2 linked regions of the Macaca mulatta genome follow. The protein of the gene in region 1 binds, or shares a complex with, the protein of each later gene. Links are inferred from orthologs where the notes say so. Each region holds a gene or a part of one and is shown in the gene's direction. Other genes may lie near its edges. The genes, in order: GEMIN4 and STRAP.

Region 1 (4,608 bases):
ACAGTCCCGAGAACATTTGGGTTGCCCGGCCTTAGGTGAGCCTTTCTGGGGCTGGGATTTTGACAGCACCTGCTCCATTGTTTCTCAGCTGCTGTGTTCTGACCTATCAATTGTTTCACCGCACTATCATCACGGAAAGCTTGGTCTCCCTCAAAACATGAACTTGGTAGGCCCTGTGTTCCAGTGGGGGCTTTTGGACTTTAGTGTTTAGGACAGAGTCCCGCTCCCCTCTGTGGTGTTGGGGTATTAGTGAATCCGCCTTGAAGAGAAAAGGGGCTGGGGCCTCAGCCTCCCAAGAGGCCGTCACTGGAGAATGGTCTCCTGCCCTCAGATCTTGGGCGTTTCCACAGCACACTGTGCCCCTCTCTCCTGCCAAATACCTACATACGCTCTTGTAATAGGAGGGCTGGGAACTCCACCCAAAACCATACAAAAAGCCAGTCTGTGTATTTGGACGCCTCCCCAGCACTCAGTCACCGAGTTCCTCCAGTTCCTCTGTTCCAACAGCAGTCGGTCACTCTCACGCAGTTTAAGTGATTTATTGATGTCTCGGCTAAGCTTGCGACAGTTTCAGGACGTTTCAGCCATCAAGGTCTAAGAATCCCTTTCCATTCCCGAGGAGCCCTCAGCCAGCCTCTTCCTTCTTCACCTCCTCACTCTGGCCGCGTAGCCCCTCATGGCGTCCATCTTGGACACCCCTTTGTTCGCGCTCCATGCCGCCCACTTCCTTCTTCAGCTCCTCACTCTGGCCGCCTAGCTCCTCACGGCGTCCATCTTGGACACCCCTTTGTTCGCGCTCCCTGCCCCCCACTTCCTTCTTCTTCAGCTCCTCCACTTTGGCCGCGTAGCTCCTCATGGCGTCCATCTTGGACACCCCTTTGTTCGCGCTCCAAGCCTCCCACTTGGCCCTGGCCTTCACGTCTGAGGCCGGAGGGGCGGGGATGCCGCAGTCGCCCTGGGTGGCCTGTTTGTAGAGGCCGTAGATCAGCAGCTTCTCCGGATCGCTCACAGGACCCTTCAGCTGCTTGAGGGCCGCGCGCGCCAGCTCGAACTCCACTTGGCACATGAGGGGGTGGAGGCGGTGCCTGGTGCTCGAAGCTGGAGGTGGAGAGTTGGAATGGCGGTTACTACTCGATCTCAGGGGGGAACGCAGGCAGGCACACGATGTTTGTGTTTTCTCAAGCACAGGCTGCAAGCTCGGGGTCCCGCGTACTGGCGCCACCCCACCACGTTTGGGCTCACACGGTGCATTTTCTGGGGAGGAACAGCCGTCAAAAGCGTCTAGGATCCGGGCCGCTGCTGTCTGAAGGGGGCGGCGCCGCGCGGCAGGAGCGCGTTGAGGGACTGTGTGGGGGGCGGACTGGACGCGTGGGAGTGGAAGGCTCGCGCGGTGCGGCCGCGCTGGGTAGTGGGCGGCCCGCGGGAGGCGCTCGGTGGCGGTGAGCTGTGTGCGGGGCACGCCCGGGGTTACCGGGTGAGGGTGAATGCGGGGCCGGGGACTCGTGAGCCGGACCCGCTGAGACCCCGGAAGCGGGCCAGGGCAGGGGACGGTGCGGAGGGTCTGGGGAGCGACGCCTGGTACCTGAGGGTGGGTGGGAGGCCTCTGCCGGAAGGCGGCGCTGTGCGCTTGGCGCGCTCGTTCGTGAGGACTGCGCGTGCGCAGGGGAGACTGTGGGCGGGGCCTGAGCGCCGCCGCCGTGGCGCCTGCGCCGTCCATTGTGCTGTGCGTCCCGCGCCGCGTTCGCGTTCTCGGAGTAGAGGGGGCGTTAGCCCCGCTCGGCCGCCGGCGTCGCCGCCATGGACCTAGGTGGGTGTCGCGTCTCCTCAGCCCCGGGCTGCGTCTCGCGATGCGCCACCGGGACGGTGCCGCCCCGTCGCGTCTCCTCCTGCCGCGCACGCTCGCTTGGGCCCGGGCCAAAGCGTCCACCACGTCGGGGCGGGTCTGGGGGTCCCCGGGTGGCCTTGACGGGGGTGGTCCGGGTCCCGCTGCGCGTTGGGCCGGGTCTTGCCCACTCCGCGGGAAAACACCGAGCAGACGTAAAGTGAGAGCCCCTGGAAACGCCCGGGGCCCGGGGCTCGCGCACGTGCTTTGAGAAACGGGCTTTCTCCGAGCACCCCCGGGTGTCCCGGCGGCCTCATTTTCTGAACGGCAACTGCGTTCTTGAGCAAGCGTCTTAGGCTCCAAGTGTCTTACGCTCATCAGGTTTCCTCATCGACAGAGCTGGGGGAATGACAGTGTGTCTCCCCACTGAGTGTTGGGCGACTTTTCATGGAGATCGCCGAGGCACAGTGTCCCGTGCAGGGCTGCGCGGGTCACACCGCGGTTGGGGCGGCTGTGTTCCTGAGGCGTCACTTTCTGAACCTGCGTGCGTCCTGATTCAGAATCTTGCAAGGTCTGGGAGAGGGGGAACCCTGGAACTAGGAGCTCCCTGCTAAGCCTCGACACAGGCTGCTAAGACCAGGAGGCTGTTCTGGGAGAGCTGGGGGTGAGGCACCCCGAGATGTGTCAGCAGTAGTAGGCTGGGGGGAAATGGTCTGTTCCCCGCCCCCAGAGAGCTCTTCAGGAGCGGTATGGCAGAACTCTTAGGGCTTGGAGCCCCTTAGCCGTAATTGCTTCCCAGCCCCACCACATCCAGGCGGGGGCACCCTCAGCAAATCGTTTCTGCGCCTCAGTGTCTTCTTCTCTAAAACCGGAATAATAGTCCTCAAAAGGTGGTTGTGAATCGAAGAGATCTTACATGTGCACCACCTAGCACCGTGCCTGGCATGGAGTAGGCGCATAATAAACCTTAGAAGCGGGCTCTGGTAAGCACTAATTAACCATCCGTGATGAAGCACCGGAGTGTTTTCCAGCTAGTAACTGACTTACTACTTCAAACTGTGGGTACTTACTGCGCCTGGAAGGCAGGTGTTGAGGGCCAAACATCTGCTCAGCTAATCCAATAATGCAATAAAATAAAATTTACAGCGTCAGGAGGGACCATATTTTGGGACCCTGGGAGAGCCTCCTGAGCCAGAAAGAAGGGCCGTAACCCCCAGAGAGGTCCCCTCTGCAGCCTGACCTTCCCTGGGAGTCAGATTCAGCCACTGTGAGCTGAGATGGATTGCCTCCACAAGTGGGTTACATAGTGCTGAACCCTTGTCCTGCTGCTGCTCTCATAAATGGTGGGAAGGGTAAGATGGTCCTTAGTTTCCTGGAGTCAGCGTTTTCTCTGCTGGTGTCTGGCCTGGGAAAATGGGGAATATGAGCTCTCGTGGGCATGAGAGACTGAGGAAGGAGTAGCATCTCTCAATCCTAGGAGAGGGGAGAGGCCTCAGGAATGAGGAATAGGAAGCAGTATTTGTACCCTCGTTTTAGTTTCTAGGCCAAAGGAAACATGCCTGATAAAGGCCTATATCCTTTGATGTTTCTGAGCTGGGGGAGGCAAAGAATAGTGACAAGATTCTGGTCCTGCCAACTATGAAAAGGTTTGGGGAAACCAACATTTACTGAGTACCTAACTAGACTCTGTAACCCGATTCTTATTGTAGCTGTATTTATCTATCATAGCGTCCCGGAGAGATGGGGTCAGGAGATAGCAATACCAACCCCCTAGAAAGGGCTTGACTGGTATATATCACATGATCCTCAAAGTTATAACATGAAGTCTGTATTATCCCCACATATGCAGAAGGAAGGCTTGGAGAAGCAACTTGACCAAGATTACATCCTTTTTTTTTTTTTTTTTTTTGGAGATGGAGGGGGTTCTCATTATGTTACCCCAGCTAGTCTTGAACTCCTGGCCTCAAGGATCCACCTGCCTCAGCCCCGCCAAGTAGCTGGGATTACAAGTGCTAGCCACTGCACGTGGCCAGAATCACATTGTTTTTAAATGGCTGAGCTAGGATTTAAACCCATGTCTGATTAAACATCCCAAGATGCTTTCCATGGTAAGTCTGTGTCAATCGTTAGTTCCCTGAAGGAAGGCTTAATCTAGCACAGTATTTTCTGTATCTACTCCCTGGTTTCTCCCACAGAGCAGGGCCATGAGTAGCTTGTTTTTGACCAGAAGGAGCTGTGGGGTGGACTGTTTACCTGAAAGGTAGAAGAATGTTTGAGGCCTGTTCCCAAGGCAAGGTTGTAAAGGGTGAAGGCAGGGCTTGTCTGATTCCTTCTGTGCCCATTACTCCATGGCTGTGTGATTGCTCTGTGCCCATTACTCCATGGCTGTGTGATTGCTCTGTGCCCATTACCCTGTGGCTGTGTGATTGCTCTGTGCCCATTACTCTGTGGCTGTGTGATTGCTGTGTGCCCGTTACCCTGTGGCTGTCTGATTGTGTGCCCGTTACCCTGTGGCTGTGTGATTGCTTCTGTGCCCGTTACCCTGTGGCTGTATGACTGCTTCTGTGCCCATTATCCTGTGGCTGTGTGATTGCTGTGTGCCTGTTACCCTGTGGCTGTGTGATTGCTTCTGTGCCCGTTACTCTGTGGCTGTGTGATTGCTTCTGTGCCCGTTACCCTGTGGCTGTGTGATTGCTCTGTGCCCTTTACCCTGTGGCTGTATGACTGCTTCTGTGCCCATTACCCTGTGGCTGTGTGATTGCTTCTGTGCCCATTACCCTGTGGCT
Region 2 (3,808 bases), on another chromosome or scaffold:
AAAATTCATGAGATTAAAATGCTGTTGAATACCATTTTAACGTATTTCCTTTTTTATGAAATAATTGCCTGTCTACCCGTGGCCCATTTATCTGTTGTGTTCATGTTTTTCTTACTGGTTTTTAAAGATTCTTTATTGAATTCCAATTTATCATTTGCTTTTAAATTTTGTTAAGGCGGTTTTATGGTGTGTACTTTTTAACATTTTGGTGGTGAAATCCTTTATGCATTCTCTCATTTTACAGAAGTTATAGGTGTCATCCCCACTCTACATACTTTATTTTATAATATTTTAATCATTGCCCTCACCATATATATATATACTTAGCTACCAAAACATGACAAACATAATTTTGTTTTATTATATGTTTGGTATCTTTGAAATTTTATTATGTGGGCATTTATGTAGTCATAAATCTATAACATTGAAAAGAGTAATAAGAGTCAGAACCGCATTGGAAATTAAGCAGTTGTTCTCTTGAGATACCTTCCATTTCTGAGAGCTTTTTAAAATATTTTACGTTTTAGTGTTAGGGTAGTTTGTTACGAAAACATTTTTAAGGTGAGGAAACAAAGCCCATTTACAGATTTTTTTATTCTCCGTTGCATGTAGGGTTTTTTTTCTGCTTTCTTTTTTGATAAATTTATGCCAAAGCATAGGAAAGGACTCTGACCTCACTTAATCTGTCAACTCATTCAGCAAAGCAAGGTAGTTCAGGGATTGGGTCAAAGCAAGGTAGTTCAGGGATTGGGTCAAAGCAAGGTAGTTCAGGGATTGGGTGGACATTTTTCATACTCTGCCTTTCCCAAAGCTGTTTTATGAAAGTTGCTCTTTCTCGCTGTGCTGGCAGCAGAAATGATAGCAACTTAGTGAGGTTTTACTGTGTATCAGGTTATCTGTTAAGCACTATTCTCATTTGTAACCATTGTTATCTCATTTTACAGATAAGGAAATAAAGTTAAAAACTTAAGTAACATGCCCAAAGGTGAAAATAGTGTTGAATGGCATTGCCTCCAGTGTCTGCTTTTGCCCCTAGAGAAAGCAGTGAGGGTTTTTTGAAGTCCTTTGAAAGGATAATCTCCTACAGATTTAAACTCCCTTCCTTTTTTTTTTTTTTTTTTTTTAATGTTTTCCTCACAGTGTAGAAACATTCTTGGGAATTGCTGTCCCACTTTCTGTTTCCCTTTTTCCTTCTAACTCTTACTTCCTATTAGTTACTATCAATAGCTGCTTGGATGAAGGTCCCAGAGTTAGCCATAGTACTAGAATCAGTTTCAACTATCTTGTTCCTAGGTCCATGTTCTTATTAAATTGTGCCACATTAATTATTATTTTATTTCATGGCGATACAATAATGCTTTTGAATATTATCAGTTGTGCAGAAATTTAGCCTAGAGGGAGTGAGTGGTGCATTCACTCAGCTACATATAGCAAGCATAGTAGTTCCTTGAGTCCCTGTCATGCAGGTAAATTTATGTTCCAGTATGGAAAAACTAACTGTATTCTGTATAAATATCAGGTTTGAATTGGGCTGGGCTTTGAAAAGTTGCAGTCTAATTTAAAATGTGTGTTTTTTAAAATATATAATAGTTTCAATATTGTTCAGTTAAAAAAATCATGTATTAACAAATGTACTTTTAATTGTTTTATCTCAAGAACCTAAGGAAATTAGTGGTCACACTTCTGGTATAAAAAAAGCTCTGTGGTGCAGTGAGGATAAACAGATTCTTTCTGCTGATGACAAAACTGTTCGGTAAGTACTTTTTTTAAAATAATTTACAATTTGAGGCTGGGCATGGTGGCTCATGCCTGTAATCCCAGCACTTTGGGAGGTGAGGTGGATGGATCATTTGAGGTCAGGAGTACTAGACCAGCCTGGCCAACATGACAAAACACTGTCTCTATGAAAATTACAAAACTTAGCCAGGTGTGCTGGCACACACCTGTAATCCCAGCTACTCGGGAGGCTGAGGCAGGAGAATCACTTGAATCTGGGAGACAGAGGTTGCTGAGAGTCGAAATTGCGCCATTGCACTCTAGCCTGGGTGACAGAGCTAGACTGTCTCAAAAACAAAAAGCAAACTTAAAATTTGAAAAATATTTTACCTTAGAGCTTGTATTTTAAATACATTTAATATTATGTGCAAAAAATGTTCTGAACATTAAAATTTAAGTTGCACCCAGGTCACATTTATCTGGAGCTATTTACTATTACAGGTCAAGTATCCCTAACCTGAAAATCTGAAATTTGAAACGCTCTGAAATCTGAGACTTTGAGTGCTGACTTGATGCTTAAAGGAAATGCTCATTAGAGCATTTTGAATTTTCTGTTTTCAGGTTAGGGATTCTCAATCGGTAAGTGTCTGATGCAAATATTCCAAAATCCGAAAAAGTTTGAAATCCAACTTCTTTCTGGTCGCAAGTATTTTCTATAAGGGATGCTCACCTTGTATATACAGACAGCAAAATTCAGAAGAAAATTAAATCCTGATCTCTTATAAGCAGGTGTTCTTAACCTGGGTCTGTGGGCAGGTTAAAGGGAGGGTCCATGAAGCCTCTGAAATTCTATACAAAAATCTTGTTTGCTGACACCTGATGTATATTTCTTTGGAAAGATGTGTAGCTATTGCTAGATTCACAAAAACAGAGTGTAAGAACCACTATTTATAGCAGTGCTGAAATTGACTAGATTCGAACTTGTCTTATGTAGTTTTGCCAAATTGGGAAGTATATGTAGGTATTAAAGTTGATTTTACTTACAAGCTGTTGTCATGCATAATTTGACATTGTATATAGAAACCCAGAATTTCTTTTTATCATCTGTAATTGTGACTTGGAATGAATGTTGTTTTTCTGTAATTGTGATTGTTCTTTCTTTGGCTAATCTGCAGATGTAATTAGAATTTATAAGCTTTTTTCTGACATGAGTAAACATCATCATATTTTTATTTTTATTTTGCAGACTTTGGGATCATGCTACCATGACAGAAGTAAAATCTCTAAATTTTAATATGTCTGTTAGTAGTATGGAATATATTCCTGAGGGAGAGATTTTGGTTATAACTTATGGACGATCTATTGCTTTTCATAGTGCAGTAAGGTATGTCCAAGAAATACTTTCATTTTCTGTTTTAGGTAACAAAAGACAATTTGGCTACTTAAAAATGGAAAGATATTTACTTTTTTTTTAAAAGTAAAGAGGCCAGGAATGGTGGCTAATGCCTATAAATCGCAGCACTTTAGGAGGCTGAGGTGGGAGGATGGCTTGAGACCAGCCTGGACAACACAGTGAGACCCCCATCTCTACAAAAAATAAAATTAGCTGGTCGTGGTGGCACATGCCTATAGTCCAGCTGCTTGGGAAGCAGAGGTGAGAGAGTTGCTGGAGCCTGGGAGGTTGAGGCTGCATTGTGCTGTGATCCTGACACTGCACTCCAGTCTGGATGACAGAGCAAAACATCCTCTGAAAAAGAAAAAAAAAAAAAAAGAAAAAGCAAAAACTGCTGGATTGGTAATGTAATTTATGTTTTTTTACTAGATAAAACCATTGCGGGCTGGGCGTGGTGGCTCACGTCTGTTATCCCAGCACCTTGGGAGGCTGAGGTGGGCGGATCACTTGAGGTCAGGGGTTCGAGACCAGCCTGGCCAACGTGGTGAAACCCCGTCTCTAAAATAAAAATACAAAAAGAAGAAAAATTAGCTTTTCTGTAGTCCCAGCTATTTGGGAGGCGAGGCAGGAGAATTGCTTAAGTACAGGAGGTGGAGGTTGTAGTGAGCTGAGGTCGCACCACTGCATTCTAGCCTGGGT

The links.
Region 2: GEMIN4 (region 1) and STRAP share a complex: the UniProt entries of both Homo sapiens proteins name them as parts of the SMN-Sm complex. The link is inferred for Macaca mulatta from reciprocal best matches to the Homo sapiens genes GEMIN4 and STRAP.

What each region holds. Positions count from the first base shown.
Region 1 is NC_133421.1:2,295,169-2,299,776, reverse strand, and holds the start of GEMIN4 (gem-associated protein 4), read left to right. Parts: upstream 1-1,797; coding exon 1,798-1,807; coding exon of another isoform or gene 1,808-2,200; exon of another isoform or gene 2,201-3,655; intron 3,656-3,669; exon of another isoform or gene 3,670-3,930; intron 3,931-4,608. Other genes in the region: uncharacterized protein LOC721152, read right to left, coding at 626-2,200. UniProt on the Homo sapiens protein: The SMN complex catalyzes the assembly of small nuclear ribonucleoproteins (snRNPs), the building blocks of the spliceosome, and thereby plays an important role in the splicing of cellular pre-mRNAs.
Region 2 is NC_133416.1:18,364,107-18,367,914, forward strand, and holds part of STRAP (serine-threonine kinase receptor-associated protein), read left to right. Parts: intron 1-1,656; coding exon 1,657-1,753; intron 1,754-2,962; coding exon 2,963-3,100; intron 3,101-3,808. UniProt on the Homo sapiens protein: The SMN complex catalyzes the assembly of small nuclear ribonucleoproteins (snRNPs), the building blocks of the spliceosome, and thereby plays an important role in the splicing of cellular pre-mRNAs.